Linked DNA regions of Nothobranchius furzeri. The protein of the gene in region 3 interacts with the protein of the main gene of each other region in a biochemical or structural test. Links are inferred from orthologs where the notes say so. Each region holds a gene or a part of one and is shown on either strand. Other genes may lie near its edges.

Evidence for each region.
Region 1: the proteins of kpnb1 (region 3) and nup62l form a complex in vitro, tested with the Homo sapiens proteins (2 studies listed by BioGRID). The link is inferred for Nothobranchius furzeri from reciprocal best matches to the Homo sapiens genes KPNB1 and NUP62.
Region 2: the proteins of kpnb1 (region 3) and kpna3 form a complex in vitro, tested with the Homo sapiens proteins (2 studies listed by BioGRID and IntAct, with this or other methods). The link is inferred for Nothobranchius furzeri from reciprocal best matches to the Homo sapiens genes KPNB1 and KPNA3.
Region 4: the proteins of kpnb1 (region 3) and kpna4 form a complex in vitro, tested with the Homo sapiens proteins (2 studies listed by BioGRID and IntAct, with this or other methods). The link is inferred for Nothobranchius furzeri from reciprocal best matches to the Homo sapiens genes KPNB1 and KPNA4.

The regions. Positions count from the first base shown.
Region 1 is NC_091754.1:20,875,733-20,881,150, reverse strand, and holds nup62l (nucleoporin 62 like), read left to right. Parts: upstream 1-1,949; 5' UTR 1,950-2,140; coding exon 2,141-3,583; intron 3,584-3,663; coding exon 3,664-3,822; 3' UTR 3,823-4,001; downstream 4,002-5,418. Other genes in the region: pdk1 (pyruvate dehydrogenase (acetyl-transferring) kinase isozyme 1, mitochondrial), read right to left, coding at 1,043-1,151. UniProt on the Homo sapiens protein: Essential component of the nuclear pore complex. The N-terminal is probably involved in nucleocytoplasmic transport.
Region 2 is NC_091754.1:26,746,616-26,752,370, forward strand, and holds the start of kpna3 (importin subunit alpha-4), read right to left. Parts: upstream 3,909-5,755; 5' UTR 3,777-3,908; coding exon 3,708-3,776; intron 1,264-3,707; coding exon 1,219-1,263; intron 1-1,218. UniProt on the Homo sapiens protein: Functions in nuclear protein import as an adapter protein for nuclear receptor KPNB1. Binds specifically and directly to substrates containing either a simple or bipartite NLS motif.
Region 3 is NC_091745.1:29,752,249-29,758,121, forward strand, and holds the start of kpnb1 (importin subunit beta-1), read right to left. Parts: upstream 3,975-5,873; 5' UTR 3,764-3,974; coding exon 3,724-3,763; intron 3,017-3,723; coding exon 2,958-3,016; intron 1-2,957.
Region 4 is NC_091753.1:52,638,718-52,644,440, reverse strand, and holds the start of kpna4 (importin subunit alpha-3), read left to right. Parts: upstream 1-2,398; 5' UTR 2,399-2,538; coding exon 2,539-2,607; intron 2,608-5,723. UniProt on the Homo sapiens protein: Functions in nuclear protein import as an adapter protein for nuclear receptor KPNB1. Binds specifically and directly to substrates containing either a simple or bipartite NLS motif.

The DNA.
Region 1 (5,418 bases), on a different chromosome or scaffold from region 3:
CACAGCTCAGCAGAACATCATTGTAGCTTCTTCTGGGGAGAAAAACACTTAGAGAAAAATTAAAGTTAATAGCTGAAATTGCAGAAAATAATACAGTTAAAGAGCAGATTGTAGAAGAAAGTAGTAGAGTGTGAAAAGTGGTCAGTGTATCCTCCACCAGTCTAAGCCTATAGCAGCATAACTACAGAGATAACTCAGGATAACCTAGCCTTTTTAGATGGAGGCATGTTGGAGGCAGGGCAAGGGAGAGCCGTCTTTACCGACTGTACACTCCACCTACCTCTACTCCCCCACTTGTCCAGATGTAGGCTAACATCAGATTTTAACCATAGGCCCTATCAAATAAAAATGTTTTAAGCCTAGTCTTAAAAGTAGACAAGGTGTCTGCCTCACGGACTAAAGCTGGGAGCTGGTTCCACAGGAGAGGAGCCTGATAACTAAAAGATCTGCCTCCTATCCTAATTTTAGATATTCTGGGAACCACCAGTAAAGAAGGCACCTCCCGTGTATTCTTGCTTAGCTAGCTAAACAGCTAACAAACGAAGAACAGACACCTCGGTAGCACATGATGATTGGAACACGCCTTGGCGGTACCTGATTACGTATCTCCTAGGCAACCGGGGCAGGACCAAGACATCAAGAAACACCGAAGAGTTTGAGATAAAACTGGGTGTTAATTGGCAAGTATCTAGCAATATAATATGTTGCTATACAGGAGAGACGATACGATATATTGAGATACTAAAAGGCTGACTATTTTTGCAATTTTTAAGTGAATTTAACTGGGAAAACTCAGACAATTCCAGTGTTTTCGCAAGATATCGGTCTGTCAGACTGAAGGAGGAAGAAACTGCTGCCACCTAGCTGTCAGTGTTTGATCTGCACCACACAAAAGAAATACAAGAAATGTTGGCATGTAAATTCTCAATAATAGATACTCTGCTTTTAAATATCGATTCTGTATCATAAACCGAAATGTTGTGATATTTCAGTGCATTGAATTATTTTTACATCCCTAGAGTGTTATATGAATACATCTCACCAAAATCCAGAAACTGCTTCATTGAAAGAGGGGAAGGAGAAAATCTGGAGTAATAATCGATATCCTTCCCTACTGACACGCTGTTCCTCAGAAACCTCAGAAGCCTCATGTTGACCGGGTTTACTAGTTATTCGGAGGAAGCAGGTGGCTTCCGAGCCACACTTAGTGTTATTTAACGACACTAGCTCGTTGAGCAAACCCAGCAGCTCGCAAACACGCTGTTAAATTTATTATTGTTCAGTTACGTTGCTAATTGATGCAGGTTCAGCATCCATAACTACGGCCGCGCTGCAATGTTTGTGTATCGTCCGGTGTGTACTTCAAGTGATCGCTGCTAAATCCACCGAAGCAGAAAAGTCAACAAGCTAATTCAAAGAGTTACTACAAAGTTCAAGAGGATTCATCGTTGTTGCCTGGCGTATACCGACACGAAGTTCTGTTGAAAGGCTGTATTTAAAATTATTGTCAATATTGACGGTAAATTGCGAAAATAAAGACGTATAAATGCACGATAATGTCCTAAATAATGTCTTTTATTCACGTGTGTATGAAAGAAGAAGAGTTGATAGTGCTCGTTATTCTGTAACTATCTTGCCTTTGCATACTCTTTGTAAAGGCCAAACTATATATTTTTCCGAATGTTTGTCTATCAGGCAGTCAAATGAGCCTATCATGTACCTCAAATCTAATCATAACTCTGATTGGATAAAACAGTTGCCAAATAAATTAATAGGCGGAATTATGTCCCTGCAGACAAAATTCAGGGCATACGAGAATGCCGCGTCTCGGGTGTCGTCACTTCCTTTAGGTGGCCAGATAATTGCCTGTTAAAGGAAATGTCGGTTCACAGGCCCACGTTTTTAGCAATGTGTTATTGATTTTGGCTCTATATTCCTCGGAAGGTAACGTTGATTAGCGTGTGATTTCATTCATTTCCTGCGTATCTGTGCAAAGTTACTTAAATAGACGCAGTGGGGATTTTAGGAACTTCAGTCGGAGGAGTTGGTCATAGCGACCCGCCAAAAGCCACAAGATTCGGCAAGGAAGTGGCCGTTTTAAACGACACGTAACGGCTGTGTTTAACTTCTTGTGAGGATAATGAGTGGCGGATTCAACTTCGGACAGAATGCAGGGTTCGCCTTTGGAGCGCAGAAGACCACTGCCGCTGCCCCCAACGCGGGTTTTACATTAACCAGCTCAGCAGCTCCGGGAGGGGGGTTCGCCTTTGGAAATGCCAACCAGACCAACCCCACCGCCTCTTTCAGCTTTGGCACCCCAGCCAAGAGTTCCGCAGGCGGCACGGGGTTGTCTTTTAGCACGCCTACTGCCTCGTTTGCTCTTGCTACCCCTCAGACAACACCGGCAGCAACAGGGTTGAGTCTGGGCTCTGCAGCAACTCCGGCTGCCGGGTCAGGGTTCACCTTAGGCAGCCTGCTAACCTCGCAGCCCCCAGCTGCTGCACCAGCAGTAGCAACAGTGGCACCAAGCGGGGGAGGATTCACCTTCGGTGCTCCCACACAAGTCCAGCCTCAGTCAGTGGTAGCACCCACAGCCACGACAGCAGCAAGTGGCATGTCCATTGGAGGGTTCAGTTTTGGTGCTCCCAAAGTCCAGGTGACCTCAGCTGCAGCCCCCACTGCTGCCACAGGAGCGGGATTCAGCTTTGGAACCCCTGCAACCACCGCCTCTGCAGCTCCAACCACCCAGGGTGGAGGTTTTAACTTTGGGATTAAACCTTCATCAACCCCAGCCCCTACAGCAACCACCCAGGTGGCTCCGACTCCAGGCCCTACTCTGTTTGCGACACCCATAACCACCACCGCCGCCACTACAGCAGCAGCTCCAGGATTCATGTTTGGTGCAGCTCCAATTTCGGCTCCACTTTCATCGGTGAGCACTGCAACCACCACAGCAGCTGGAGGGGGCTTATCCTTCCCACTCAAACCTCTGAGTTCAGCAACCACCACCTCTGCTCCGGCCTCCATCCTAACTGCAGCCGCCACCACAGGCACAGCTACGGGCTTCATACTGGGACTCAAAACTACATCCACCACAAGCACAACCACAACAGCCACAACAATCGGCACCACCACCACCACTGCTCCTCCTGTGATGACCTATGCCCAGCTGGAGAGCCTCATAAACAAGTGGAGTCTTGAGCTGGAGGACCAAGAAAGACATTTCTTACAGCAAGCGACTCAGGTGAATGCCTGGGACCGCATGCTGGTGGAGAACGGAGAGAAGATCACATCCCTGCACAAGGAGCTGGAGAAGGTGAAGCTGGACCAGAGGAGGCTGAACCAGGAGCTGGACTTCATCCTGTCCCAGCAGAAGGAGCTGGAGGACCTGCTGTGTCCGCTGGAGGAGTCCGTGAAGGAGCAGAGCGGAACCATCTACATGCAGAATGCCGATGAGGAGCGTGAGAGAACATACAAGCTCGCTGAGAACGTAGACGCACAGCTGAAGAGGATGTCTCAGGACCTGAAGGAGATAATTGAGCACCTGAACACATCCAGCGGCCCAGCTGACTCCAGTGACCCAGTAAGATCAGATCTAAGTCATCCTTAAACCTGTCATTATGATGTTTGCCTTTTTCATTCATCTCTTTCTCTCTGTTTTAGCTCCAGCAGATTTGTAAAATTCTCAACGCCCACATGGATTCGCTGCAGTGGATCGACCAGAACTCGGTTCTCCTGCAGAGAAGAGTGGAAGAAGTGTCTAAACTCTGCGACACCCAACGCAAGGAGCAGGAGAAGAGCTTTCGTTTAACCTTTGACTGATCTGTTGATGAGTTTAACTCTGCATAAACATTATGCTCTTTTGTTTGGATTTACTCATTTCACTTTCTGTTTTGGTTTTATTAAGATAAATATTTTCTCAATAGTTCTTTATAAAGTTAATTGATCATATTAAATGTTCTGGGTAGTGTGATTAAATAAAACAATTGCAGTGGATCTCATTCAGCCTGATGTGGTGTGTCATGACTCTAATTCTCACATCTAATCTGAAACATGAAAGATCTACCAGACTTTTTGAGTTGAAATAATCTAAATTACTTAATCATTTTAGAGCTTTAACTGTAATTTGTCTCAGTAATGATCTACAAGCTGCTTAATTCTACCTGAGCCCTAGATTAGATGTAAAAACACAAGGAGGCGGGTGCAAGAAATGATAAATGACCCGCACTTGTATAGCACCTCTCAGAGTAAGGACTCCAAAGCACTTTACACTACAGTGTATCATTCATCCATTCACACACTGATGGTGATGAGCTACGATGTAGCCACAGCTGCCCTGGGGCGCACTGACAAGCAGAAGCATTGGTTTTCTTAACAGCTCCAGATAAGGTAGTAGAACATGTTGGCCAACCTCACAGGTATGTTGCAAAACACTTTGAGATTTTCATTCTAATACAATGTTAAAAAATACAATTCACCATTTCTACAGTAAAAAATTCCCAGGAAATTAAACAGCCATGTCACAAATATAAAAATGGACTACAGTTTGTCCTAATTTGCAGAATCTGCTAAAAATAAGAGCTTCATTGTCATCCGCTGCTTCCCACCCAAAGCATCGAGATTGATTGTTCCATCATAGGCTGGTAATGTCTGCAGAATCCACGAATGGGGAAACATGAAAACAGTTATCCGTGCTCTGTAAACAATAAAAAATGTTAAGTCTTGCAGGGAATTTACACTTGTTATGCTTTTTTTATTTTTTAGCATCAGAACAAACAAAAGCATCTGAAGAGTTTGAAATGCATTAAAATCAGACAGTTTCTGTACAAAGACTTCATCACTAAACTGTTTCAATGGAATTAAAAATTGTCTTTCGTCATACAATATCAGGGGCGGTTCTAGACCAAGTTTTCCAGGGGGGCCACAGTGGGGCCAGTATTTTTTCATGGGGGCGCAAGAAAAAAAAGGGAAAAATTAGGGCAATATCAAAATTCTTTTTTGTCTCTGCCATATGACTAATTTTGTGCTTGTGCACAATTTTACCAAAGGAAATTCCTAGTACTGTGAAACTACTCACTTTTTTGTTCTCTTCTTTTTAATTTCTATCTTTACTATATTTTGGGGATCAAATTTATCAAAAATTTTCCTTTACTGTTTTCATCTATGATCTTTTACAGCTGTATTTTATTAAAATAAGATTCAAATAAATTCATAATAAAAGGCAATGAACAAGTAATCTATTACAGCGAATGCAGTAATGGTTTACTTGTGAAAGTAAAACTGGCATGTCTTTATGGTACTCAGATAACAATTCTGAATGCTTCACCGCAACATGAGACTTGAGTAAAAAAATAATTCTAGTTGATTGTTATAGTTTGTGACTTTATTTGAAGATTACATGTACTGTACATATGAAAA
Region 2 (5,755 bases), on a different chromosome or scaffold from region 3:
ATGAGGAGGCATAGGAATGGCGGTCCAGTCTAGCAAACGGCAACAGTGCAATTGAGACATGGGGATAATTGCCATCGTTTAAATAAATTATAGAAACAAACATTTCTTGTAAAATAAAATGCTCTAGTGTCTTGAAAAGAACCAATAAATGAAATTCTCTATTATTACTAGTTGTAAAATGTTTGACATCACTGTGTGCTAGCAAATTTAACAAAATAAAGAGTAATAATGAACCATCTCATTTTCAATCTAAAAACTGAACTAGCAAATTGAAGCTGTGGAATTACATAAATCACAGAGTTAAATGCTTAGTTTCCCAAAGTAATCTGGATTAAATAATCTGAGGCTGAAGACAGAAGATTCACGACTAAATGGCAACTCGGAATGAATTCAGCCTCTATGGAAAATGCCTCTCTGCACTGGACGTTGATCCAGAGAGCTGCCATCCAAAATGGCATCAGGCCCTGCTCCTCTTCCTGGATCATCAAGTTTTAGTTGCATTGTGTTTATTTTACAAGACACATTCATAAGAGTGCATTTAAAATCAATGTTACATTAAAAAGTAAACAAGTGATGTTTATTATGAGCTAACAAAAGAGCCGTTTGAGGGCGTCGCCATGATGGGATCCCCGCTTCTCCGAAAACGGTGACTAGAACGTGGTTTACTTGGGTGTGACGTCATTTCCAGGTCTGAGATCTGACTTCTGAGGTTCTGAGGTCAGCGTCGACCAATATGCCTTTTTAGTAGAACCAATTTAAAGGCACATCCATGTGCAGCAGAATTATTTTTAAATATATATTTAAGTTCCTGAAAAACATCTACTTAATAAAAGCTTTATTACCATTTTAATTATAGATTAAACAGTTGATTACATTCAGGGTTTCAGAAATGTTGTGCAGCCACTGTTATTGGTGACACTTAATCATGCAGATAAGGTGGAAAACATTTAGAACTTAAACTGTGAAAATCGACAGCACTTAGCGGCCATCGGCTGTCCAGGACCTCCAGATATCGGCAACAGAAAAACTCAAATCGGTCAATATCCAATAACTAACGCTATCATCTATTTGACGTTGTTTATATGTTGTCAGAAGTTTAAAACTGATGTGCGTTCTTTGCTGTTCCAGAGTCAGAAACAGATCGGCCTTACGCGGACAGATTATGTGCGTGCATTTGCTTGTGTGTTCCTGAATACTGTCGTGTGAATCTTTTCTCACCTTTCTCAACTCAACTGTCACTTCGTTTCGATGTCTTCTCATAGTCTGAAACGGGAGAAAATACAAAGAATGTGAACAAGATTATATAGTTTCACACTGGCATTTAAGTGTGATGGAAGTCTTACAAAACAACAAGAGATAAAAATGTAACATGTTACAATAAATGACCGTATCTTTGTGTTTGAGGTGAAAATCAACTCATTTTAGTCCAGGTGATGAGAAACTGTTTAATAGTTTTGCTGTATAAGTGCATCTGTTGGGTTTCTCGCTCATCCAGAGCATTTTGAGATGGTCTAAGATCTTGTGACTGTTAAAGAGGTTCATGTTGCCATCCTAAATAGCCTCTTACGTAACTTTGGGCTGTCATAACAGAGAAGCGGCTCCAGACCACTGCAAAACAATGATAATGCCAGGGGTACTGATCCGAACTAAACTGCTTCTTAAATACAGATGTGAATTATCACATGATTTCAGCAATGCTCACATTTCATCTGTCGAGCAAAAGATTTCAAAACTCTAATTAATGGAATACTTTTTCAATATTCAAAACTAAGATACTAAGTCTGGGTGTGGGACCTCATTCAGTTCAATAGGTGTTAAAAATGAAATGCACTCTTTTGCAGCTGACCTAAAACAAATTTGCTGTAGTCTGAGTCACCCACTTTCAAAAACCCAATTTCATGCCGAGGTTCTGAGAAGGACTGGGTCAGACTTCCAAGATGCCTGAAATAGCATCAGGAATGCACTTTGGCAGAGGCTCGATCCCAGTAGCCATGTGCTTGTCGAACACACACTTCCAGTTTCAAAACAACCAATACAGGCACCACTCTGATGGTGAAACTCCCGTCTGGTGAATTTGGAAAGGGCATTCTCAGACATACCTTTGTTTGTGGATTATCTTGGGATTACCGATAAATTAGAACAACACTAAAACAAGTATGTTTTTGTTAGTAATCCCCCCTGTGGCTGAGAGAAATGCCCTAAAAGAAAATTGTTTACATTTCACAGATAATTTGAACAAGTCCAGAGTAGATTAGTCATTTGATTTGAACATTTTTTAACCCAGAAATGATAGATTTGCTATTTTTTGTTTGTTTAAACTTGAAACAAATCCTTTACCAACTGCTTTGGCTACAGTGTCAATGAGCAATTTAGACAAATTCAGTGAAAGATGCAGCATTTTAGATATGCTAGTAGGTACACAAAATAAATCTAGTGTTTTCTAGAATGTGACTTACAATAAAACGGTAAACTACATTTAAATTTTTACAGAAATGCTGAGTTAGGGCATTTGTGATTCGACATAACCTTTTACTACAGGTTATAGTTAACAGAATGGCTAGCTTGTTATCCTTTGCTTTTGTGAGGAAAGTCACCTAATTTAATGGTGACTGAAAATACAAATATTTAAAGAAAAACAGATAGACACAACACTAGCTGCTCGGTTGGCAGGCTCGCGTTTGCATGCTAACGAGGAGGGGTGGCTAGGGTAAACGAGCACCCGTCACCGATCCACCCAAATCACACTTGTCCATATAATATTGATTATATGTGACGTTCTTTGGTTAGCATTTTTGTTTACAGTGGGGTGGCATAAAAAGATTGGAAATATCGCGATTTTGAAGCCGGGTAGGCCCCGCCTCGCTTGAGACCGGTGTCCATCAAACTAGCTAGCTAAAGTTAGCTAGTGTCGTGTCGAAAAAAGTACACCAGTCGCCAAAGAAACCCATCATGGGAAGCGTATTTAAGGACAGCTTGTTAGGATTACTTAAATTATCGTTACATTTAGACCTAAATTTGTAATATTCTTAACGTTCAGAAACGAGATAAGTTGCTTTAGTCACTGGGTAACGTCTATTTATGGCCAAGATTTTTTTAAACGTACATTATAGGGGGAAAAAAACAATGTACATTATGATGCATGATTTCGAAGACTTCCAGGGTAAAAAAAAAACTGCATCCTAGCAGCCTACCTCAACATAACTACTGCGAATACATCATTACAATCTAATTAACTGCATAGCTTTACAGAATAAACGATACTTGACTTATATGTGGAGAAAACGTGGTTAATTTAGTTAAGTAAAACAAACCATGGTTTAATTTATAACGCATTTCCGACTAGTGTGCTTTTAATGGCAGGGGTACCTTTTTCGTTAAAACACCGGCACTGACAGCTACATCGCCTGCCCTAATTCTCATAGTTCTAAAAGCCCAACTATGATCCAGCTTTCAGTCACAGTGGTTGCTGAGGTTTATGACTTATCCACGCTGAAGTCCATCACAGCTGTCGTCTTTAAGAGTTTAATTTTCATGTAATGAAATCTTTGATGGCGACCACCCTGTGGTAGCTTAGCTAACAGGCAGGCTGGGAAGTTTCAGCCGGGGCCAGGCTACCAAGCAAGGCCTGACGGTAGTCGGCTTTTCCCATCTACATTAAAATATTAAGATTAAAGACATTTAAACGCATATCCTCAAAAAGAGCTCACCTCGACATCACGTCCCTTATTTTTAAAGCTCTTGATGCGGTGGTTTTCCAAGCCGGCGTTGTCTGCCATGGCTGTACGGGGTTTGGATTTTACTCCGGCTGTCTGTATCTCCTCCGTGAAAGACGAGGCACGGCAGCTCCTGTGCTGCTGCGGCTGGGCTGGCTCCGGAGAGGAGGAGGAGATCGCAGAGTGGGGGGAGGAGTTACATCGGCTGTCCTGGTTTCCAACACCTGAGATCAAAGCAAGCAGATGAACTGGAAATTGATGCCATGGTGCCTAATAAATCTTTATTACAATAAAAAGTCGTTTGGTAGCTTTTTGGAAAGTGTGCACCCTTCTACGTTCTACATGACAGTGGATACTTCTCTCTTATTAGGAAATCCAAAAGAAAAGGGTTCAGCAATCAGTTTGTTACATTATGCATGAGTAGTGCTGGGCAACAAATCGAAAATGTATCATTATCAAAAATTCTGACTCTTATCGAGATCATTTTTCCCATGTTAAAAATTTGATAGTAAAAAAATGAAAAGATGTGTGTAAGTTGGCAACATTCATGTCCCTTTGAGTCACGTAAAAATTTGACTCAACGTCATACAAGTGAAAGCCCCATCTAGTGGACAACTTTTGTTTCTGTACATACCTGTAATTATCGTCCATTTATCGGTATCGAGGTAAAATCCTCGAAGTATCGTGATATTGATTTTAGGCCACATCGCCCTGGCACTCAGGTTGTGGAAAAGGACAACTGTGATTGGATTGCAGACTTTTAAAATATATTTTACAGCTGCCCTGGTCAAGGAGAGAGAACAGCTGGAAACAACGCTTCCACAAACACACAAAAAAACAATTAATTGTCAGAAATTAGAAAGGCATCAAACACATGGAGGTAATTTTGGCGGGGGGAGTGGGGGGGGGACAGGGAGACATGTCCCCCCTACTTTTTCCAAAGTCAAGTTTTGACCCCTGCACTTTTTACCTTCCAAAAACAATATTACGCTGTATTAAATTGACACTGGTTGAGCTCTAGGACCAAGCGGAAAACAACCATTTGTGTTGAAGCCTGTTTCCCATTAGAGCATACTGTAAAGATTCAATAAAACCCCTAAAATATTGTAATCTTTTTTTTTATTTCATCAATTTGAAAACGAGCTAAATTCCACAAACAGTATAGCTGCTGCCTCTTCCTGCACACAAACTCACCCTTTTTCAAAAGTTAAATTTGAACCCATCGTTTTCCCAATAAATTGGTAAGTTGGCACCTGATCAATGGTTTGTCCTTTTGTTCTGGTTGATGGAGTACTGATGGCTTTTCTGAAATCGTGTCCTTTGTTTTTCAGGTTGCAGATGTGTGTCTTAAAAGACTAAATGGCTGGACCGTGTCTGCTTGCATTTCTGAGCAGACCCACAATTACAGCGTCATCAGCATATTTTATAATCAAGTGGTTTTAAAAGGTGCTCAAAAAACAGCAAAGAACAGACACCAGCTCTCGCTGCTGGTTGCTTTACTCATTACTTTGCAGCAGCTACATGTGTATGTACGTGGGTGAATGTGACAGAGGAGTTAGTGTTGTAGTCGTCGAGATCAGTCTTGAAGCCTTATTTTTATGTTATTGGTGTCATCTTGGTATCGAAGGCATTTTCGCTCTGTCTCGTCTTGGCCTGAGCAGACTGTTTTTTTTACGAGACCGGTATTTTGTCCATGTTTTACTGATGAGAGAATACCAAATTAAAATCAATGGTAGCGTAACAATTTTCTCCAGCTGCCATAGGTGCAGATTTATAGTGGGTGGGTGCAGGGGTGCCTCCAGGAATTTTGGGTCCCATCACCAAAATCCACAAGCAAGTTAGATTTTAAAGTTGTCCGCGACAATATTGATAAACTTGAGTGTTGCTTGATGGGTGGTAGGGATAATTATTAATTATCCATACATGATTATACATCTGCAATATACACTGTAGTGTATTGACAGGTCCCCAGCAACAAACTCTTCATGGGTTTACTGGTAGGGTGTTTTGCTACCATGAAGTTCAGGATTTTAGTTCAGCTG
Region 3 (5,873 bases):
AAACATACGGCCGCAGGTCAGATGATACGACTACAAAGTCTATCATCGACCTGCGACCTAGGCTGCCCTGGTACCAAGTGTACCGGTGGGCATCCTTATGTTCGAACATGGTGTTCGTTATGGCCAAACTGCGGCTCTCACAGAAGTCCAATAACGAAACACCACTCGAGGTCAGATCAGGCGGGCTGTTCCTCCCAATCACACCCCTCCAGGTCATGCTGTCATCACCCATGTGAGCATTGAAGTCCCCCAGCAGGACAATGGAGTCCCCTGATGGAGCACTATCTAGCACTCGTCCCAGGGACTCCAAAAAGGGTGGGTACTCTGAACTGATGTTTGGTCCATAAGCACAAACAACAGTCAGGACCCGTTCCCCGACCCGAAGACAGGGAAGCTACCCTCTCGTCCCCCAGGGTAAACCCCAACACACTGGCAGAGAGTCTTGGGGCAAACAAAAAGCCAACCCCAGCCCTCCGCCTCTCACCCGGAGCAACTCCAGCAAAGGAGAGTGCCCAACCCCTCTCAAGGACTTGGGTTCCAGAGCCAATGCTATGTGTTGAGGTGAGTCCGACTATATCTAGCCGGTACCGCTCAACCTCTGCCACAAGCTCCTGCTCCTTCCCAACCAGTGAGGTGACGTTCCATGTCCCATAAACCAGTTTCCTTGTCCGGGAATCGGACTGCCAAGGCTCCCGCCTCGGTCTGCCACCCAGTCCACACTGCACCGGACCCTTCATGTTCCTCCTGCGGGTGGTGGGTCCACAGTTGGATGAGCCCATGTATCCGGTTCAGGCCGGGCCCCATGGGCAAAAGCCCGCCCACCAGGTGCTCGCCCACGAGCCCCAACCCCAAGCCTGGCTCCAGGGTGGGACCCTGGTAACCCCCGGGGCCGGGTACTCCAACTCTTTGATTGTACATCCATGAAAGATCCTCTGAACCGTTCTTTCACCCTTCACCTAAGACCAATTTGTCATGGGAGACCCTACCAGGGGCACAAAGTGCCCAAGACAACCTAGCTCCTAGGATCATTAGGGCACTCAAACTCCTCCACCACGATAAGGTGACGGTTCAAGGAGGAGGTTCCTTCTGCTCCGCGTAGACCTGAACTGGTCACCTGCAGCTTGTGTGTAATCAAATGTCTCTAGGGAGCTTGCTGAAGAGGTTATGAGCTTCTAGACTTTTGCCTCAGACAGACTCATGGCTGTTTAAATAATGTTCTGGATGGATCCGTGCTCTGCTGACACACTCAAAGCAAGTGCTGAATAAGGGTGAGCGCTACTTCAGCCAGAGTTTTAAATCAGGAAACATTCTCCAAATGAAATAACCAGAAGTCTTCCAGAGTCTGAAAGACAGAAGGGTTTCCACTTTACACTCAACGCCGCGCTGTAGTGCACGATGTCGAGTGCATCACAGACGCTCTCCAAACCCCTCCTCAGCGTGGTGCTTGCGCGTGCAACGTCAGCAACCAGAGGCGGAGGGGGTGAGAAAAGGCTCAGATGCACTGATGGAGACCTGTTCTTAATTGTTACCTCTGCGATGTTCTCCGTGCATAGCGTATAAAATATTCGTCAATAACAAATATACAAATCGCCTCCTGTAAAAAACAACTTTATACATAAAGTGAGGTCCAACTGAAAAGCAGAAACAAAGGCAGCAATAAAGTCACAGCTCTGAGCTTCTTTGAACAAAAGGCTCCTGGTTGTCATGTAAACTTTCATCCTCTCCATCTATAAACACCTAACAAACTTCACCGAACAAACTGTTTTCACTACATCATTTCACCTTCAGGATTGTTTCTATAGATCATCCTACCTCAAGTCAAGTCAGAGACCTTGAAACACTGTTAATCCAGTGTTTCCTAAATAATTCAAATACTAACCCCTAAACCTCTGGCTGAGATACCATCCACGTTAAAACAGAAACTTCAAAAGCAAGACAATGCAAATAACAATGATGCCATTCACTTCTTTTCATCCCCTCTGTTTAATTTGACTTCTTTTATTTTACCTCATTCGTTCCTGAGCCCTTTGGGAACCAGTGTGGACAGTAAGCCCTAAAGATGTGACACAGCAAAACAACGCTCAAGTTTCTAAAGTAAAAAACATGTTTTATTGACACATATGGAAAGGCTGAAATCAGATCTCAAATAAAAAAAGGAAAACTGCTAAAAACGTTGTTTGTGCCAGCGGTGCGAAGTGAGTGTGAATCCAAGGTAGTCGTCAATGTCCTGCCTTCTGCAACAAGGGCTCATGAGGCTTTCAAAACTGATCCTAAAAGCTACTCTTATAATTTATTTTACTGACGGGATGTTAAAGCAGCAGAAGGACAAGCTCAGTCTCTCCCCCACCTGATGGTGCTTAGTGAATGCACTGCAGTGAGTTGTTACCACCAGCTTTTTAAAAATGCAGGGAAACACATAAATACAAGTAAATGTTCAGAAATATTGGGTCTGCTGCAGCAAAGCCTACAAACACCAACAGAGAAATTGTTCTGTATTTATTTCCTCAAGTGCTGAAATTTACTGTAAAACGTTCACAGCAACGGGACTCTTGGCAGAAAATAATTCATCTTTCCAAGTCAGTTACCATCACTAATCCTGCATGATTACTGAACAATTTGGATCTGGAGTAAGGTCAAGAACCTGATTTCAGCAAGAACCCAGTTAGAAATTAAAATCTTTAAAAAGGGACCTTAAACTGACACATAGAAAAATAACTCAGCTGTAGTCAGCTGGTTAACGAGGTGAATGTACTTCCGTTTATCTTGGGTTTAGTTGATTTGGAGGGTGGCGCTTACAGGCCGAGTGTGTTCGTCCCTGTGTGTGTGTGTTTATTTTGTGTTGGGAAAAGAAGGGAGGAGAAGCCAGCGACTCTGCAGCTGTCCGAAGCCCCTCTCCTCTGGCCTGCAGCAGCAGCCCTGCCGGCCTCTGCCTCCTCCGTTAGGGGTCTACTACTAACCAGGTTCTCTATCGCCGCCTGCTCCAGAAACTTCTGCGCCGCCTCCAGTTCATTCCGATCTGAGAAGAGAAAGAAGTGTTACTCCAGTAGGCGGGCACACAATGAGCCCTGACCCGGTTTAATGTCCGATCCACTCCAAACATCGTTAATAGCTACCTAAATGAGTGACATTGATTCCACGCAGTCACATTTGCACGCTGCTAACCGCCCTGCCGAGGCTGGCACATGCGCGTTAGCAGCTAACATTAGCCCCACTGTGGAACACGTTTCTGGAACACCAAGTGGCGCTAACTGCCTGAAAACAGTAATAACTGTAGATAAAGACACTAATCGAAGACCACAACCAAACGACCACTTCTATTAGTTGCTAATCTGAACCGTAAAGGAAATGGTCGAGACTTAGAATGACACCCACTAACAAGCTAATGGAGCGGCTCCACCAGACCTGGGCAGGGTCGGTCTTCGGTTCAGCTTCCTGTAGCGACCCTATCAGCCGCCACGGGGCCCAATTTTAACGACTTGTTAAGACAAAACGTATGGAAACGGTCAGAGTAGGCATGATGACTACTTTTACCCTAAACTGCAATAAAACTACCGGCAGAGTGCGAAGTCACTGTCCGTGTCAGGCCCGAGCGTTAGCTCGGTTAGCTTCTTCCTCCGCCCTGCCGTAAACTTTTCTCACGCTTCTCATTGCAACTCAACACAACTACTCTGAAAATTCACCATCACACCCTGGCTGAGGTGCGCATACACCCCCAGTACTCACCTGGAGAGACTGTCTTTTCCAGAATAGTGATGAGCTCCATTCCGTGTCCCGGCTGCCGCTTGCTTCACTCGAACAGGTTCGGCGCCCTCAGCGGGTTGGATTGCCTCCACGGAGCTCAGTGAGTACGAGCTACAGGGCGGGTTCGGTGTATGCTAGAAGATGTGGATATTCCCCTGGTGCTCGCTCAATGGTTTCTCACGGATGGAGCGGGAAATGTTAACGGCAGTGTCGCGCGCAGGAAGGTCTCAGAGTTTCACCGCATCGCGAGGGAAAGGACCGCGCGCTTCTCTACGCGGAGGGATATCACGCTCTGACGCACGCGTCAGTGATGCAGTCTTCTACCTCTCAGATTTTGAATGCGGATTGATGTTATACTGCCAGCTTCTGGTTGGGAGTGGGAAAGTGCGGTGCCCGTCTGGTGACAATTTTCATGTTTGTCCCATCACGTATGTACTATATATTATCAAGTTTGTACCATATACTTTTCACGTTTATAGAATTTATTATCAAGTTTTTACAATACAGATATTAGAAAGAATGTGACATTTATATTCAGAGGTGGAAAGAGTACTAAAATTTCCTACTTAAGTATGAGTACCAGTACTTTGATCATTTTTTACTCAAGTACAAGTAAAAGTACTTGCCTGAATTTTTACTCAAGTAAAAGTAAAAAGAATCGTAAATAAAATGTTCTCAAAGTAAAAGTTACTTAGTTACATTTTTGTCAGCGTAAGGATGGTTACATCAGTGCAAAACCACAACACCAGTTCACAACACACTCGTGTCACGCACACACGCGGACACACACACAGTTTGATGGAAGGATTTCTATCCAGTCAGTGAGAACAGGACGTGCACATTGATTGGACGAGGTTTTTCTAGGATTGTACGTTTCAATTGTGATTAAAATTATTCTTTATTTTGAAAAAAAAAAAGTTTATTTCTACATGCCATCAGCATGTGAGGTATCTCAATGTTCTCATGACAAAACTCTAACATGAGACTGTGCTCTAACCTGTCACATAACAAGCTAAATGAAAGTCAAACATTTCAGATGGACCGTATGACAGCTGCTAACGTTGGCCCTGCCCTACTTTACCTCTACATTACAGTTCCTTTATCCATGTCCATCCTAGAGCTCCTCTCTGACTTTCATGCTTATTTAGAGCAGCAGATTTTTAAAGTTAGCAGAGTTCATCCTTGGTAGTGGGTTCAATCACTCATTTAAAGATATCGGCCAGAGGCAAAATTCGTTTGAAGAGCATGTGTAAATGTGTATTAAAACCTCAGATGAAAAAGGTTTTTGGATTTTGACGACTGGAATTGTAAGAAAATCTGATGTTTGTGACCGGCGCGGGAAAAACAGAAACTAACTTCTGGTCTAAGCCCTGGGCAGCTGGTGACGTTATATTGTACAAAAATAGAAACATCGTATGAACAATATGTTTTTATTGTTAGGATGTAAAACATGTAGCATTAAAAGTCTAGAGTACTGGCAGTTCACCTGGAGGTAGAGCGGGTTGTCCCGGAAATGGAAGGTTGCAGGTTCAATCTCAGCCAGAGAATGCTGCTGTTGTGTCCTTGTGCAAGACCCACCTTGCCTGCTGGTGGTGATCCGAGGGACTGGTGGCGCCAGAGCTTTGCAGCCTCACCTCTGTTGGTGTGCCTCAGAGCAGCTGTGGTTCTGCGTACATTTTAGGGCACCCTCAGGTCTCAGGTGTCAGACTTCAGACCATAGGGAAAAAAAGCATCAGGTTTCAGAAAAAAATCTTCAGGGGAGAGTTGCTACATTTAAAATGATGGTCTTACCCAGAATAAATTACTTATTCTCGATGATCCCAAACAAACCTCCAGCTGTCTGGTTTAAATCTCTGGACTCCTCAATTACTAAATTCCTTTGGCAGGATAAACCTCCACGAATTAGCTTAAAAACGCTTCAGAAGACCAAAGACAGAGGAGGACTGGATTTACCCAACTTTTATTATTATTTCTTAGCCAACAGGCTGCAATATATACCAAGATGGTTGCAAGATAACCCACTAGATGAGTCCTGGTTAGATATAGAACATACACTTTGCAATACGAAAGAGCTTTCAGACTTACCATTTATTAGCTCAAGCATAAGAAAACATGAAAACTTCAAAAGTATT
Region 4 (5,723 bases), on a different chromosome or scaffold from region 3:
ATAACCGATGTCACCGTTGTGAAGGAAACACAATCTTCTCCTGGCTTCCTGTCTGACGGCTGGAGACAGGTGTAACCGTGTCTGTCCTCCATAGTTGCACAGTCACTTTGGTTATAAATAGCTCTACCGAAAGTAGTGGAGGGACAAGAAGGGGAGGGATCTCTGGGTCCTCGTAAAAGACCAAATACAGGAAGACAACACCGTTCACACAGTCGCACAAAAGGAAGAGGACGACGAGACCCTTTTCACATTTCAGTCACGGGTACCCATGCATCCCAGCCTCAGAAACAAGTGCAAGTCCTCATGCTGGGCCTAGATGGCTCAGGAAAGACTTCCCTGCTCTACAAGCTGAAATACAACGAGAATGTGGTTACCGTACCGACCGCTGGTTTCACCGTGGAGTCCTTGGAGATCGACGGGAAAAGCCCAGAGCTGACGGTGTGGGATGTTGGTGGTCAGAGGAAGATGAGGCCTCACTGGAGGCATTACTACTATGAAACAGCTGGCCTGATGTTTGCGGTGGACAGCCAGAACGAGAGACGGCTGGACGAGGCTCGCAAAGAACTGCACAGGGTAGCTACGAAAGAAACTGTTTTGTTATACAATGAAGGTTTCATGTGAAAAGTTTTTAACTGTAACAAAAACGGATCTCCTCTACCTCTCAGGTCCTGAGGCAGGACAGTCTCAGAGGAGTTCCTCTTGTGGTTCTGGCCAACAAACAGGCTCTACCAGATGCTCTGAGCCCCCAATCACTGTCTGTGAAACTGGACTTGAGGGGTGGGTGTGGCGGGCCGGGCGTGGTTCGTCCAGCCCTCCTCAGCCAACACTGGGACGGGACTGGAAGAAGGTTTCATGAGGACGGTTTATCTGATGAAGACCCCTTTCAGACAGACTCAGGACGACATTAAGGTTCAGATGAGATCTAAAGGCTTCGGTTTCGCAGCAGTGAAGCGATTCTGTGGCAGCTGATTACAGGACGATTACTTTTGATGTTTGATTCCTGTCGTCTTTCATCCAACTGAAACCAACTGCGAGGTCAAAGGATGATGCTAACGCAGAGATTAGAGTTAATCCGTGTGGTGAAACTGCTGCGGGGTGAAGAGGCGGGAGGAAAAAAACTGTGAGGGGTTTGTGAAAAATCTGGGATTATTGGGGTGGATTTGAGAAAGCCGTCATGAGGGGCCTTGAGACAGTTCTCTGAAACTACAAATGTATATGAATAAATTAGCAAATAAGGTTTAGATATATTTTATCACTATAAATCATTTTCTTGTGTTTTATATTATTTGAAAATCAAGTTTATTTTGAGCAAATGTCATCTTACAATAAAGGAAGTTCATGTATTTGATCATATTCAGTGTGTTTGTGATTTTTTTAAACCTGCAAAAATGATAATGATGCATTAGCTTCTGATAGAAAACAGACGGTCTAACTGTGGGATTAGAAAAGCCTGACAGATCTACGTCACACTGTCACTTAACAGTCATGGACTCACCCATCTTGGCTCACAATGGGGAAGGCTGTTGTTGGTTTAACGTCCAGGAAACAGCAGAGAACGTCCCGACTAGCAGAAGCTAACATTAGCATTAGCAACTCCACCACACAGCAGAGCACCTCCACGCTTGTGTTATATGTGGAAAAAAACATCATGGTTGCAAAGCAAATGAAGTTGGTGGTAGAGTCGTGTTGCTGTTAGCCAATCAGAGGCGAGATGTCCAAATATCAGGAAATGTTTTACTTCCTGAAACTGGGTCTGTGCTTTTTAATAACCAAGTACGACTTTCATTCACTAATTAATTACTAGAATGAAGCCACAGCAAATGTATTGATGAAGCGTGTGCCCCACATCTTTAAATGCAAATGAATTCTGAAGTAAATCAAATTTCTAAATACCATTGCACTCTTATATATTGACAGATATCATTTATATACAGAGGAAATTTCACTCATAATTGTTTAATAAAACTTAATTAAACATTTTTCCGCATTTCCTGTTTGTTATTTTGTCTTTTTATTATTGATCACATCATGTTATTGTTGAATTTGAGCAACACAAAGGGTAAAATAAGGAGAGGGAGGGTTCTCTGTCTTATGACGTTTTTCATTTGCATGGAAGACAAATAACACCTTCTGTAAAGTCAAACCTGCTATATTACTCCGCTAGTGTAAAACACTAAAGTATTTTGTTTCCATAACAAATCTATATTATGGTGCAGTGATAATTGACCAGATGTGACCTTTTTCTTCCAGTAAACTTCATGCGTTTTGCCTACATGTGATGCGGTGCTCCCACCGCCACGGACGTTGGCAGTGAAACCAATGAGAGCGGAGTGGAGGGGATTTCCCCACCCTTCCTCTACGACACAGCGAGGCGCCCCCCCCTCCACCACCGGCATTCCCAGTATGCACCGCGGACAGAGCAGCGAAAAGTAGTCCGCTAACGAAACGCCGTGAAACGGGAACAAGAAAAAAAGAGGGTAGCTCGCCCGCTAAATTCACGAGTCGAACTGTGTATTTAACGTGACCAGAACAGCAAACATGGCTGACAACGAGAAACTGGACAACCAGCGGCTGAAGAATTTCAAGAACAAGGGTCGAGATTTGGAGGTAAAAGTTGTGCGGATAAGGTGTTTAGGCTCGCCGCTGCTAGCTGCTGCGTTCACGGCCAGCCTTGCCTCTCGGCTGCGCTGTGACGTCGTTTCTAATTTCCACCATCGGGATCTCTGCTGCCAGAGCCCGGCCAAGGCCTTCACGAATCGACCGTTAAGCACCGTTGGCTTTTGGCAGAGTGGCTTCTTGTTCGGTTTCTATCGTTTTGTTACACCGTTAGACCGCATTGCTTAAGAAACATGTCAGAAAAGCCTCCGCTGGATGTGCCAGGGCCGCGGGGGGACATGCGAGCTCAACTGAAGCATTTCACCCCCGAGTCGGTTTAGTTCGGTGTAATATGTCACATATATCAGTAAAAGTACACCTAATTGACCCAGGTTGTCTCCTTTTGAGATATAATATCGATAAACACGCCAGCCTAGCGGCGGATTAATGTAGTTTAATACCGCAGTAAGCTAACTTGCGTGCTAGCTGAGCTCGCGCTGGTTGCATTTCCACCCATCCCCCGTCTCTACAACCAAAAACAATGGCGGAAACCAGTTAGCCGTTTAGCTGACCAGTTACCTGGATCTTAACGTCATGCGTGTGTGTTCCATTGTTTTGTTTATCACCAACGAATATTTAGAAATCTATAAACACCTGGTCGACCTCGTGACATGGTAGATCAAGCTACACGTTAGCAAACGTCAGATCAATACTAGGTGAGTTACTGTCAGCCCGGCGTGTCTCATTGTCTCATGTGAGCGTATGGTAGCGAAATAAGGTCTCGGGCGGGATTTTACCTTACGGGTGTTTATAGGCGGGATGTGCCCGTACATCCTGCTTGACAAGTCGTTACTTTCTCTGAAGAAGCAGGCCTCAAGAGTCGTATCGCTCATCGATTTGTCAATAACTTTAGCTACAAGTATGGAAGAGGTTCGGAGGAGGTGGACACACCCAGACTCCTCAGTGAGCAGAAACTTCAGACTTATTTCATTACCATACTGAAATAACGTGTATTTAATCGTTTGATCACGTGACTAAATACGTTGCTCACTCACATTGCATCAAGTGTTTAGATTCGTTTGCAAATAACCAGGAAGATTAAAAAGTGGCATTTAGGCAACATAAACCACTGAATCTTCGAGATCCTGAAATAAAATAGTCTTGATGCAATCATCATCAACTCTGCACGATAACATCTGACACCATTCAAGTTAATTCAAGCTACAGATCGACTGATATGGGTTTTTTCTATTGCAGATACCAATGCCCACTGGTAGGGGTCATGGTCAGCCAATGGCCGATATCTAGACTTTTTCCACCATAACTCTTTGCTAAAATGTCACTAATAACGGGATGCACAACATTCATGAACCTAATCAGTTGACACAGAATTTGACATCATGAATCATAATTTTACGCTCTGCGTGGTATTAAAATCAATCTTTTAACCAACGTTTATCAAAAAGAAAACAAAAACCTGACTAAGTATTAAATATGCAAACCAGGTAAATAAGAATAAATGTCAGTTGACAATGTTTTCGAGAATTTATTAATCAGATGCTATTAAAGAGCAAGTCACTCCAAATCAACATTTTTTTCTCCTGATAAACTATATAAATGAGTGCCTAATCGTGCTGCAGACACGTGTAGTCAATAATTCGGCACTTTAGTGCATCTTAGTTAAAATTTAAATATTCTGCCTAAAACTGTCAGTGTTGCACCGTCGTCAGGTAAAAACTCAGCACTGCATTTGAATTTAAATCTGCCGTCGCTATTGGCTAAGAGGTACACTATGATGTTAGATGGTACATTATAATGTCACAATGCCGTGAGTGTGTGTATTTGTTAGCGGCTCAACCCTCTCGGTCTGCTAGGCAACAGCATTTGTTGCATTTTTCAAACAGGAAGTGGGAGTTGAGTAAGAATCTGGTAGGGGGTGACTTGCTCTTTAAGGAGGGTAAACATAAAATTGTGTAGTGGAATCGGGCTGCCCACTGATGTGCTTGACTTCAAATCAGCTTTAGTATAGTGAAAGGTAAATTACAGCTCCATTTTTTTTGGTCCATCCCCAATTCAACCTGTCATATTTAATGGCATAGGTGATTGTTTGTCATTAGACAAGAAAACAAGAAAATGTGGATTGTATCCCACTTCCTACTCCACATTTGTGTGGAGAAGCTACATCATAGCGGTCCAAGTTTGGTACAATGCTGCATGTAATAATTTATTTTAAATTAGCACATTTTTATAATTAGCATGGAAACATTGTGGTGATTCTTAAAAGTGTTTAATACAAATTTTCTCTGTTTCAGTTTTAAGTTGGATCCAAAATGTATTTTTGGACCAATTTAAGATCTTTTTTATCAAGCTTCTAATATTATAGACAATATGATAGCTTAGCTTATCAAACAACCTTTAATCTACTTTGTAACCTGTTAATACAAATGCTGTAGTCGAATGGACGTAGTAACCTTAAACCAGAAATAAAGTGTACACAAAAATGACTTGTGCTCACAAATGTATCCAGCTAAAAGTCATTTTTGGGTTTGTACCAGACTCGTGCATTGAAGAGGAGGAGTGCTTTTATATAACTAACGTAGCAGGATAAAATAAATCATTAGCGTTTGTAACATTAGAGGGAAAATGTGGCATACAAACGTGTACTAAAGGTAAAGTCACCACCACTACTGTTGTTGCTACACCTACAAGTAAATACATACAAGTAACTCTCTGTTGATGTTAGCAGCTAACAAGAGGTTATTAGCTTACAGAGGCGACTCTTTGCGCTCTGCCATGACGTGCTCGTCCATCGCAGATGTGCGCCCATGAATGTAGAGTTTCACTTTGCAGATTTTGCACTGTGCATGCTTCTCGTTTATTTGTCGTTGTAAAACGCTCTGCACCTTCTGAGCTATGCTGTGGACTCGCCATGATGTCATCTTTCGCCGGTTATTCTTGATTCAAAGGCTGATCTGGACGGCCACGACTGCGCTTGTGCCTCGAGCAGAAAGCAGCCACTGAAGGTGCCACAGAAAGCGTGATTTAATAAATGCTCATACAATAAATGATGTCGACTATTAAATTTCTAGTTGACTATCTTGTTTGTCAGCGTCGTCGTGATGAATCGA